2 linked regions of the Schizosaccharomyces pombe genome follow. The gene in region 2 interacts genetically with the main gene of each other region. Each region holds a gene or a part of one and is shown on either strand. Other genes may lie near its edges.

Region 1 (4,337 bases), 3.1 Mb from region 2:
GTCAGAAGGAATGTCCATGTCTTCAATGTTGATATTCGCAAGTGGTGAAGGAGGTTCAGTATTATGAATAGCCTCCTGAAAACGAATCCTTTTGACCAATTGCTCACATTCACGAAGCTTTTTACGAGCAGCTGGATCACTGGGTGCTAGTGCCAATGCCTTTCGGAAGTCACCGACAGCCTCTTTGGGTTGAAAAATAGCAATATGAGCAGTAGCTCGACGAAAATATGCCTTTGCATATTCGGGGTCGCATTCAATAGCTTTGGAAGCATCATTGATTGCCAGACCATAATCCTCTGACTTTAAATGTGCAAGAGATCTATTGGAGTAAAGAATTGCGTTTGTAGAATCAAGCTCAATGGCTTTTGTATACAAATCTATAGCTTGAACGATATGTCCCTCTTTTAGAAACTTGTTGGCTTCATTTTTTAATTCCAATGCTTCTTTAGCCATTTTATTGAGCAAAAAGTACAAATTCAAGCCCTTGTGAGTTTTTGTTTGGTGGTTGATAGTAGCTAAAAAAGTTTTTATCTGTCCGAACAATGCAGCTTAATAATTGGTAGTATTGGGCTACAAAGAAACAGATATTTAGGATTCTCAAAGATCAAAATGATATTTTTAGAACAACAAATTAATGGCTTTATAAATGCAAACTTTGCAACGCAGCATACATATTAAAAAATAAATACAGAATTTACACAATGTTTTACATTAGAAATCTCAAAAACTTACAAGCGTAATAAAAGCAGTTTCTATGAAGTGTGTCTATTCATTTATCTACGAAATAAAATGACTCGAAACTTATAATACATCAATACATCTCAGATGAGAAAAACTTACAAGGCAATCATTATGTAAAGGAAATAACCATTGTTTTCTAAACACAAGTGATACCGGACAATCTTCGTATAGTTCAAAGAAAGATAACAAAAGCAAACGAGCTGTATCCTTCTCGTCTCAAGCACAACGAGTAGAAAGTACAAAGAGAACGTTATATTGATGTTATTCGATCTTGTCTATATTCCAAGATACCCAAATATTTTTTTTTCCTTTTTTAAGATCTGAGCAATCATCTATCAAATGAAATGATGATATAAGTCATTAACAATTTCCAAAGCGGAAAAAAACTGTTTCGTATCGACATGCTCAAGAGGTAGAACTCATCGAGAAGAAAGTGAACTATGTAGAAATGAAAAAAGACTACGAAGCGTTAGAATTTAAAAATTAAATATTCTTTTAAAGAATAACAAGGCCAATGGCTCAATTTAATGTTTTTTCTCAGTATCCATCCAAGCCAAAGTACGACGAATTCCTTCCTCCAAATCCACAATGGGATGGTACTTCAAAACATCTTCTGCCTTTTGAATGTTAAAGTAACGGTTAGCACAACTAAATTGGACACGGAAACGTGTAAAGCCAGGTTCCTTTTTCAAGAAATAACAAACCCATTCAGCAGCAGTGGCTAAGAGCATACCCACCGGTCTAGGGAATTTGATGATATAAGGGGGAACGTGTCCTGCATGTGCCCAAATAGCACGTGCAAAGTCCCAAAAGTAAATAACCTGTCCATTGGTAATGAAAAAGACTTGGCCATTGGCAGTAGGATTACTAGAAAGTAAATTGTCCATAGCCAGAAGATGAGCATAGGCAGCGTTTTCGATGTAGGTAAAATCAAAAAGATTCAAATTATCACCCAATTGAAATTTGGTTTGTCCATTCTTTAAAACAGAAAGCATACCAGGGACGAGTTGGCGATCACCTGGACCAAATAAACCAGCAACTCTAAGGGCAGCAGTTTTTAAAGATTCAGAACTTGCCTCCAAGACTTGTTTTTCTGCCAAAGCTTTGGACTCGTTATAGGCATCCATATGAACTTCTGGGATGGGCTGGGACTCATCCACATTGATAAGGTCAGCACCATTGAAAACTACACCTGCGGAACTAGTATAAACAAGGGCATCAACATTAAATTTCTGGCATGCTTTGATGATATTCGCTGTGCCATCTACGTTCACTTCAAAGTAAATATCACGAGCAAGGTTATGCACAGGTGAAGCAGTGTGAATAACTACGCGTGGATGAAATTCCTCAAAAACACGCTCAATATCACCTTGTTTCGTTAAATCACCCGTATACATGGTGAATTGACCATGAAGCTCGTGTAGCAACTTTTCATTTTCAAAGAGATCAAATGCAGCAATTCGAAGATTTTCACGTTCGCACAGCTGCCGTATGATATGACCTCCTAAAAATCCACTTCCAATAACTAACACGGAATTCATCGGCATTAAAAAAATACAAGAATAAACGATTGTCTGGTTCTTGCCAGGTATTCGACGTTACACCATATCGAGAAATGAGTGAGCTTATTTGCTACCTGTGTTTTTGGGGTGTAGGCTAGATGCAATACACTAACCATGATTAGCGAGAAAGAGAGCAGCTGTTGAATATGGAACATGGGTTAGAGGATAGTAGCCGATTGAAACTCTATTAGTACAATATGTAGTACGCACTTAGAAAACAGAAAAATTAAGTGAGTAACATCTCGAGTACCATTACAAGAAAACGATGACCTCCCGACCTCGTACCGTTCACATCTAAAACTGGCCTATTGTAAAGCAATGCTGCGTGCTACCTTAAAGCTCGATAATGTTGATAGCAGCCAAAACCCAATTTTCGTACTTTCTTCGTTGAACGTTAAACCAATTTATTATTTATAAATTCTATCGTTATACCTTTTATCAAATCACAATATTCAGCGTAAAACATTTTTCCTCGTTGGTAACCTTAATAAATAAATTATTAAGCAGTGTTGATCGCAGGAACAGCAAATTTTTCTTTTTTGGGTTGTAAACGACTAAAATTTGTTTCCTTGAAATTACTTTTCGCAATTGTTTTTTCTAGGCTACACCAATCGCACTTGAATCATACTTGTTTTTGGTTAAAACCTTAGTAAGGCAAGTAGCCCAGCACGGCTACATTGAGAATTTTGCTTTCTGCGCGTCTCTTTGACAATTTGTTTGGATTGTGGAGGCTTAAACTCTTAACTAACAAAAACGTGGATTTTTCTTGTCGAGTTCTTTCTATTGTACTAGCATAGGTCAGTCGTCTTTCATGTACAAAGCGTCGCTTACTCATGGCTTTGGTGGTTCGTCCATTTATCGTGGCCTCACTAATTCTCGACATTCCTATACCCTCTTCTACCATGTTGGCATTAAATTTGCTTACGCGATATCGGTGTCTCGTTCTGCCACTGTTAATCTAAGCGTTCGCACTTTTACGAATGTCTCGAACGAGTCTCATTATTCATCGCTAGTAAGCACACCATTTCCCAGGGCTCTATATAAGAATCAATTTACCCACTACCACCATATCGCATTCCTTCGATACTTCAGGACATTCTTTCCTTATCAGAAATTTAGCTTCTATAAAGGCATACCCGATTCTTTTAAGAAATCTTTGAAGTTAGGATCTATTTATTCCCCTTTAAAACAAACATATTTCTCTACAAATACTCATATCAATAGTAAGTGAAACGAAAAACGTGCAGGAAATGTGACGGCGATGAAGTCGAACCCAACAAAAAAAAAATTATTACCTAAAAATAAAACTAATTCGGTGATGAATTTTTTTCTTTTTTTTTGTTGATTAGTAGGAAACTTTTTTATTTCCGAACTCACGTGTAAGATTGGGTTTCATCTGTTTTTTTATCATTGTTCGATAATGGTTATCTTGTGTTCTTTCAGCTTTTCTATCCTTCTCGCCTTACAACATTAACGTTTATCTTTTTTTGTTTTGTTTTTTTAATTTTACTGACTTCATTAGTGACTCACAACAAGGTTGTTATTATTGGGTCTGGTCCCGCCGGCCATACTGCAGCCATCTATCTCGCCCGTGGTGAGCTTAAGCCCGTAATGTACGAAGGTATGCTTGCCAACGGTATTGCTGCTGGTGGTCAGCTTACTACTACCACCGATGTCGAAAACTTTCCTGGTTTTCCCGATGGTATCAATGGTACTACCCTTACTGAAAACTTCCGCGCTCAATCTTTGCGTTTTGGAACTGAAATTATTACCGAGACTGTTTCCAAATTAGATCTTTCTTCTCGCCCTTTCAAGTACTGGTTGGAGGGTGCTGAAGAGGAAGAGCCTCATACCGCTGACAGCGTTATTTTGGCTACTGGTGCTTCCGCTCGTCGCCTTCACATTACTGGTGAGGATACTTATTGGCAAGCAGGTATATCTGCTTGTGCTGTATGTGATGGTGCCGTTCCCATTTATCGTAACAAGCCTCTTGCTGTCGTTGGTGGTGGTGACTCTGCTGCCGAAGAGGCCCAG
Region 2 (4,348 bases):
TTTAAATAACTAGTAATTTACATAATAATAATACAATCCTTTTTACTTATGAAAAAGGAACCGCTTGACAAGGAAAGTCTGAAGCGTGTAATACCATAAGTCTTATTTGTTCAGGTTCGCGAACATAGGATCCGAGTGCCACAAGGACTTTCTTTTTATCCCTATTATTATTGTTCAGTAAGTAAAATAGCACATTACAATTACAGTAGTTGACATACTCTTTATGGCACCTTAGATACAAAAATTTTGATTGTCGATGCAAAAAATCAATAGGAATTGCAGACCCAAATATTCCAAATGACTGATTTAGAGCTAATGTGATGAGATGTCGTAAAGAAATATCGTCTATTTCATCTATAGGGGTAGTACCTCCAACCCTAAGTATGTCAGTGAAACAAATTATCCCAGACTTCCTTACACTTCAAGTATTATATATGACCATTCGCTTTTTAAACGTTGATGAAGTACCATGGCCTCTTTTTAACTCAAAAGGAAGGCAGATCGTGTCTGGTGAAAGTTGTATAGAGAAGTAAACTTCTGAGTAAGTACGATACCAACACGTTTAAGGATGCATTTGCTGCAGTTCCTGTGGAATCTACAAGCTCGTAATTATCATACTAAAATTATCGTACCATCACATAAACTGTTATGTGAAGGCTAATCTTCGAATAATTGAGGTACTGTTTAATTATGTTTCCTGTTTTCATGCCTGTAGAAAGCAAACAGCTGAACAAAATGAGGAAGCCTTCAATTCGAAGTGTAATATTAGAAAAATTTAATAACTTGAATTATTGCTATTTTTCATAATTTAATTTTGCTGGTTGATAAAATATATCCAGATACACAATTTACGAAATGCGGTCTTATAGCTAGCATGAGACAAAGACGGCAACTCGCGGAATTCTTCATATAAACTTTTCCGAGTCCGAGGTTCTAATAAATTCGTATGTTTGTATTAACTAAATTGAGACATAAACTATATTCCAGACTTGGTTAAAATCCCCTTATCTATTCATTTTGTCAAGATATCTATACCGATTGTAGCAAAATTTGATAAAAGCAATTTTCAAAATGTTTTACTGAGAATGCAATGAATCAGGGATTGTTCTTTCATAACTCCCCTCGTCTCGTGCACTTTAAAATTAACTGGTACTCCAGATTTTTATCAAGGCCTCCGCGCAAGAGAATATGTAAATGTTTCCCTTTACGAAACCAGCTTCTTTTTCCATTCCTGGTAAAGTTTTGTCATATATTCTAAAGCTTTCTCTTGCTCTGAAGGCAAAATTAATTCCACAGGAGTAGAGAGGACTCTTTCATGACCAAAACGAGTCACGGCTGCTCCCCACTTGATAGATTGATCTTCTTTGGTAGCATGTAAAGCAGTCCAAAGAAAAGCAAAAGCAGCAACGTATGGAGAAATTGTATGCCAAGGACTTCCAAGTAAGCGACAAATATAGAAACCGAGCTTTGCACACATAACCAATATAGGACCGAGGAAAGTTTCATACATGTTAGTAGTACATAGTCCGGGATGGACAAGGTATTGTTCAAAAGGGAGTCCCTTTTCAAGTTCTGCATAGTGTAACACATCTAACAAACGCTTTGAAGATTGATAGGGTTGCTCGCCGTGAAAACATTGTAGGTCTTCAAAATCAAGGGATTTTTTTTCTGCTACTAAACTGCTTGTAAGGACTACCTTTGTTGACGAACGGAGCACTTTTAGTTCGGCCAGGCGATTTTTCTTATGTAAATTAGTACTAACATACGGAATTAAGGTGAAAAAACTTACCAAATAAAAATGACCAAAAACATTACTTTCAAATATGTAACCGAGGGAGTCATTGCTCACACGTCCAGCAGTCTCTTTGTAAAAGGTTGGATGCGTCAGTGCCTGGATAGGGTTGATCAAAGTAGAAAAGATAGCCTTTAGCCATTGAATACCTTCCAGGTCCCAAGCACCAGCATTTAGGTAAACAAAATCTAATTTAGGGAATCTAGTAGCGATATCTTGCACCGCAGCTTCCACTGATGCCATATTCGACAAGTCTAACAAAACGTATTCCAACCGTATTTTCCTATCGGGAAAGAATTCTTTCAATCTTCTACAGGCATCTTCTGCCTTTTCACGACTCCTGCATGTAAGAATTACCGTGAATACTTCGGGTTCATCTTGCAAACGCGGTTGGTAGAACTGCAAAAGACGCGTAGCTATTCCAAAACCAAGACCACTGTAATCATTAACTGTGTTGCTCTAGATATCTTAATAATATTTTACCTGTTGGAGCCGGTAATTAAGGCATATTTACGAAAACTCATTGTTAGGGCTTTACAATGGTAGTAGTAAAAATCGTTTGATATCTACCCTGGTCAGCTATGTAGTATACGTTCGAAATTACACGTCGAAGTATTTAGCTACTTTATCTTCTTTCAAAAAATTTATTAATAAATTGGTAGAAAAAATATCATTCAAAATTCAATTAACCATAAGTATTTCTGTACTAGCTTGTATTTGATCGTCATTCAATTTAATATAACAAAGCTCTCAAAACACTCTGTTTCCTAAATAATAGCAATTAAATTTTTGGATTCAACTCAATAATAATTCTAATAAAAAATGCTTTTTTCATTTATGGGAGACGATAGAATCCATGCTTCAACTTTACCAAAGCAGCGAAAAGATATAAGAATAATTTTCATTAACCAAACATGCTCAGTAAGTACTTCAAAACTATACAAAAACTTTTTAACTACACGAAAAACTAAACGACTTGAGCTTTCTCTTCTAAATCCTTTATCCTTTCTTGAATTATATCCAATGCATGTTTGCTTTGCATTGACTTATTTTCACATTCCACTACAGCTTCATTCGTATTGGAATTGATCGGCAAACGAATAGTTATTTTTTGATCGCATACAGCCTCATTCATAATAGATTCGTCTTTTTCCATGCATATGACCAGATGAGCACTAGCGATTGCAGAAGCTAGGTTATCAGCTGAAATTAAAGAAAGTGCAATTCCGTGGCACAAAAACTTCTCATGAATATCGTCTAGCTGCTTGCAAATATCTTCCTCTTCACTTACTGCAAAGATTTTTGTGAAATGAAGCCTACTTAGTTGCTTTAAAATATTGGACGCTAATAAAGACTCCAAAAAACTGGGCAAATCTACAAAAGATATAACCAATGATTTTTCTTTTTCTAAAGTAGGGCAGACCGATGAAGCATCCGAATGCTTGTATTCGATCTCAAATGCCTTCTTCAAGTCTTCATAAGTTTTAGCAGTCTGAGCGAGTTGTCGAACATTTTTCCGAAATGAACCCTGCATGATTTGATTTAAACAATATTTAGTATTCCCAAAATTATTATCAACCTCAAGAGCCTATCAACAATTAGTAATGAATAAACAAGCAAAGTACAAACCATTTTCAAAAACTCCTCGGCAACCTTAAAACTAGAAAGTGGGCCCTCTATTCGAAAACAGGATACGTTCCTTTCAGCAGCTCTGGCGATAAGCACACCGTCGACTCCATATTTCTCAATAACATCCAATCCATCATTATAGCTTAAGACATCCCCATTTACTAAGATCGAAACATCTTTATTTCGACAGACGCCTACAATTTCCGATAAATAACTACGATCTGCAGGCTCAGTATTTCGCATTGGAGTTGTACGGCAATGAACAGTGATTGCTCGAACTCCTGTATCGCATATGCGCTCTACCAATTTTAGGGTATCTTCTTTTGTCTCTAATAAACGAATTTTACAACTTATGGAAATTTTGTAAGGCTTCCCGATCTCATTCACTAGAGCATCGAGAATACTGACTAGACGATCTTGATTTTTCAAAAGGCCAGCTCCCATTCCAGCATGTACAGAAAAATGTTTGGGGCAACCACAGTTTAAGTCAATGCCTGCAACATCATTAGCTACAAGTTTTGCTGCTTCCACTGCAAGTTCTGGGGATGCACTTCCGAGTTGAAAAATCAATCGATTAGCTTCAAGCGGATGCACACGAAACAACACCTTATTGCTAGGTGGTTTAACAAAATCGATGCAATTGATCCTATCTATTTTAAATTGAGTCAATAATAACTGAATAAAATAACACAATTAGGAAGAAGAAATTTGTTTTTCAATTAAATAAATGTCAAAAAATGTAATTACACGAGTTAATAAAAAAAATAATTCATCAAATATAGTATTGAAAAACGAAAGTGCATGGGTGAACAATGTAATTACACGAGCAACCAATATCGATTTAATCCTCATCTTTCTTCTAAAATTGTAATTCATACTAACACATACCATTTACGACTCTTTCTACAGGTGTTCCACTCAGAAGAG

The links.
Region 1: of erg27 (region 2) and erg26, a mutation in one rescues a mutant of the other (synthetic rescue), as found in Schizosaccharomyces pombe (one large-scale study listed by BioGRID).

The regions. Positions count from the first base shown.
Region 1 is NC_003423.3:4,186,442-4,190,778, forward strand, and holds erg26 (3 beta-hydroxysteroid dehydrogenase/delta 5-to-4-isomerase), read right to left. Parts: upstream 2,325-4,337; 5' UTR 2,289-2,324; coding exon 1,266-2,288; 3' UTR 809-1,265; downstream 1-808. Other genes in the region: SPOM_SPBC3F6.01C (serine/threonine protein phosphatase), read right to left, coding at 1-453; thioredoxin reductase Trr1, read left to right, coding at 3,526-3,526, 3,826-4,337. UniProt on the Schizosaccharomyces pombe protein: Sterol-4-alpha-carboxylate 3-dehydrogenase; part of the third module of ergosterol biosynthesis pathway that includes by the late steps of the pathway.
Region 2 is NC_003423.3:1,108,858-1,113,205, reverse strand, and holds erg27 (3-keto sterol reductase), read right to left. Parts: upstream 2,340-4,348; 5' UTR 2,317-2,339; coding exon 2,276-2,316; exon of another isoform or gene 2,229-2,275; coding exon 1,790-2,228; exon of another isoform or gene 1,742-1,789; coding exon 1,205-1,741; 3' UTR 771-1,204; downstream 1-770. Other genes in the region: RNase P and RNase MRP subunit Pop8, read right to left, coding at 47-161, 219-377, 419-471; tRNA dihydrouridine synthase Dus2, read right to left, coding at 2,760-3,380, 3,422-4,071, 4,310-4,348. UniProt on the Schizosaccharomyces pombe protein: 3-keto-steroid reductase; part of the third module of ergosterol biosynthesis pathway that includes by the late steps of the pathway. Erg27 is a catalytic component of the C-4 demethylation complex that catalyze the reduction of the keto group on the C-3.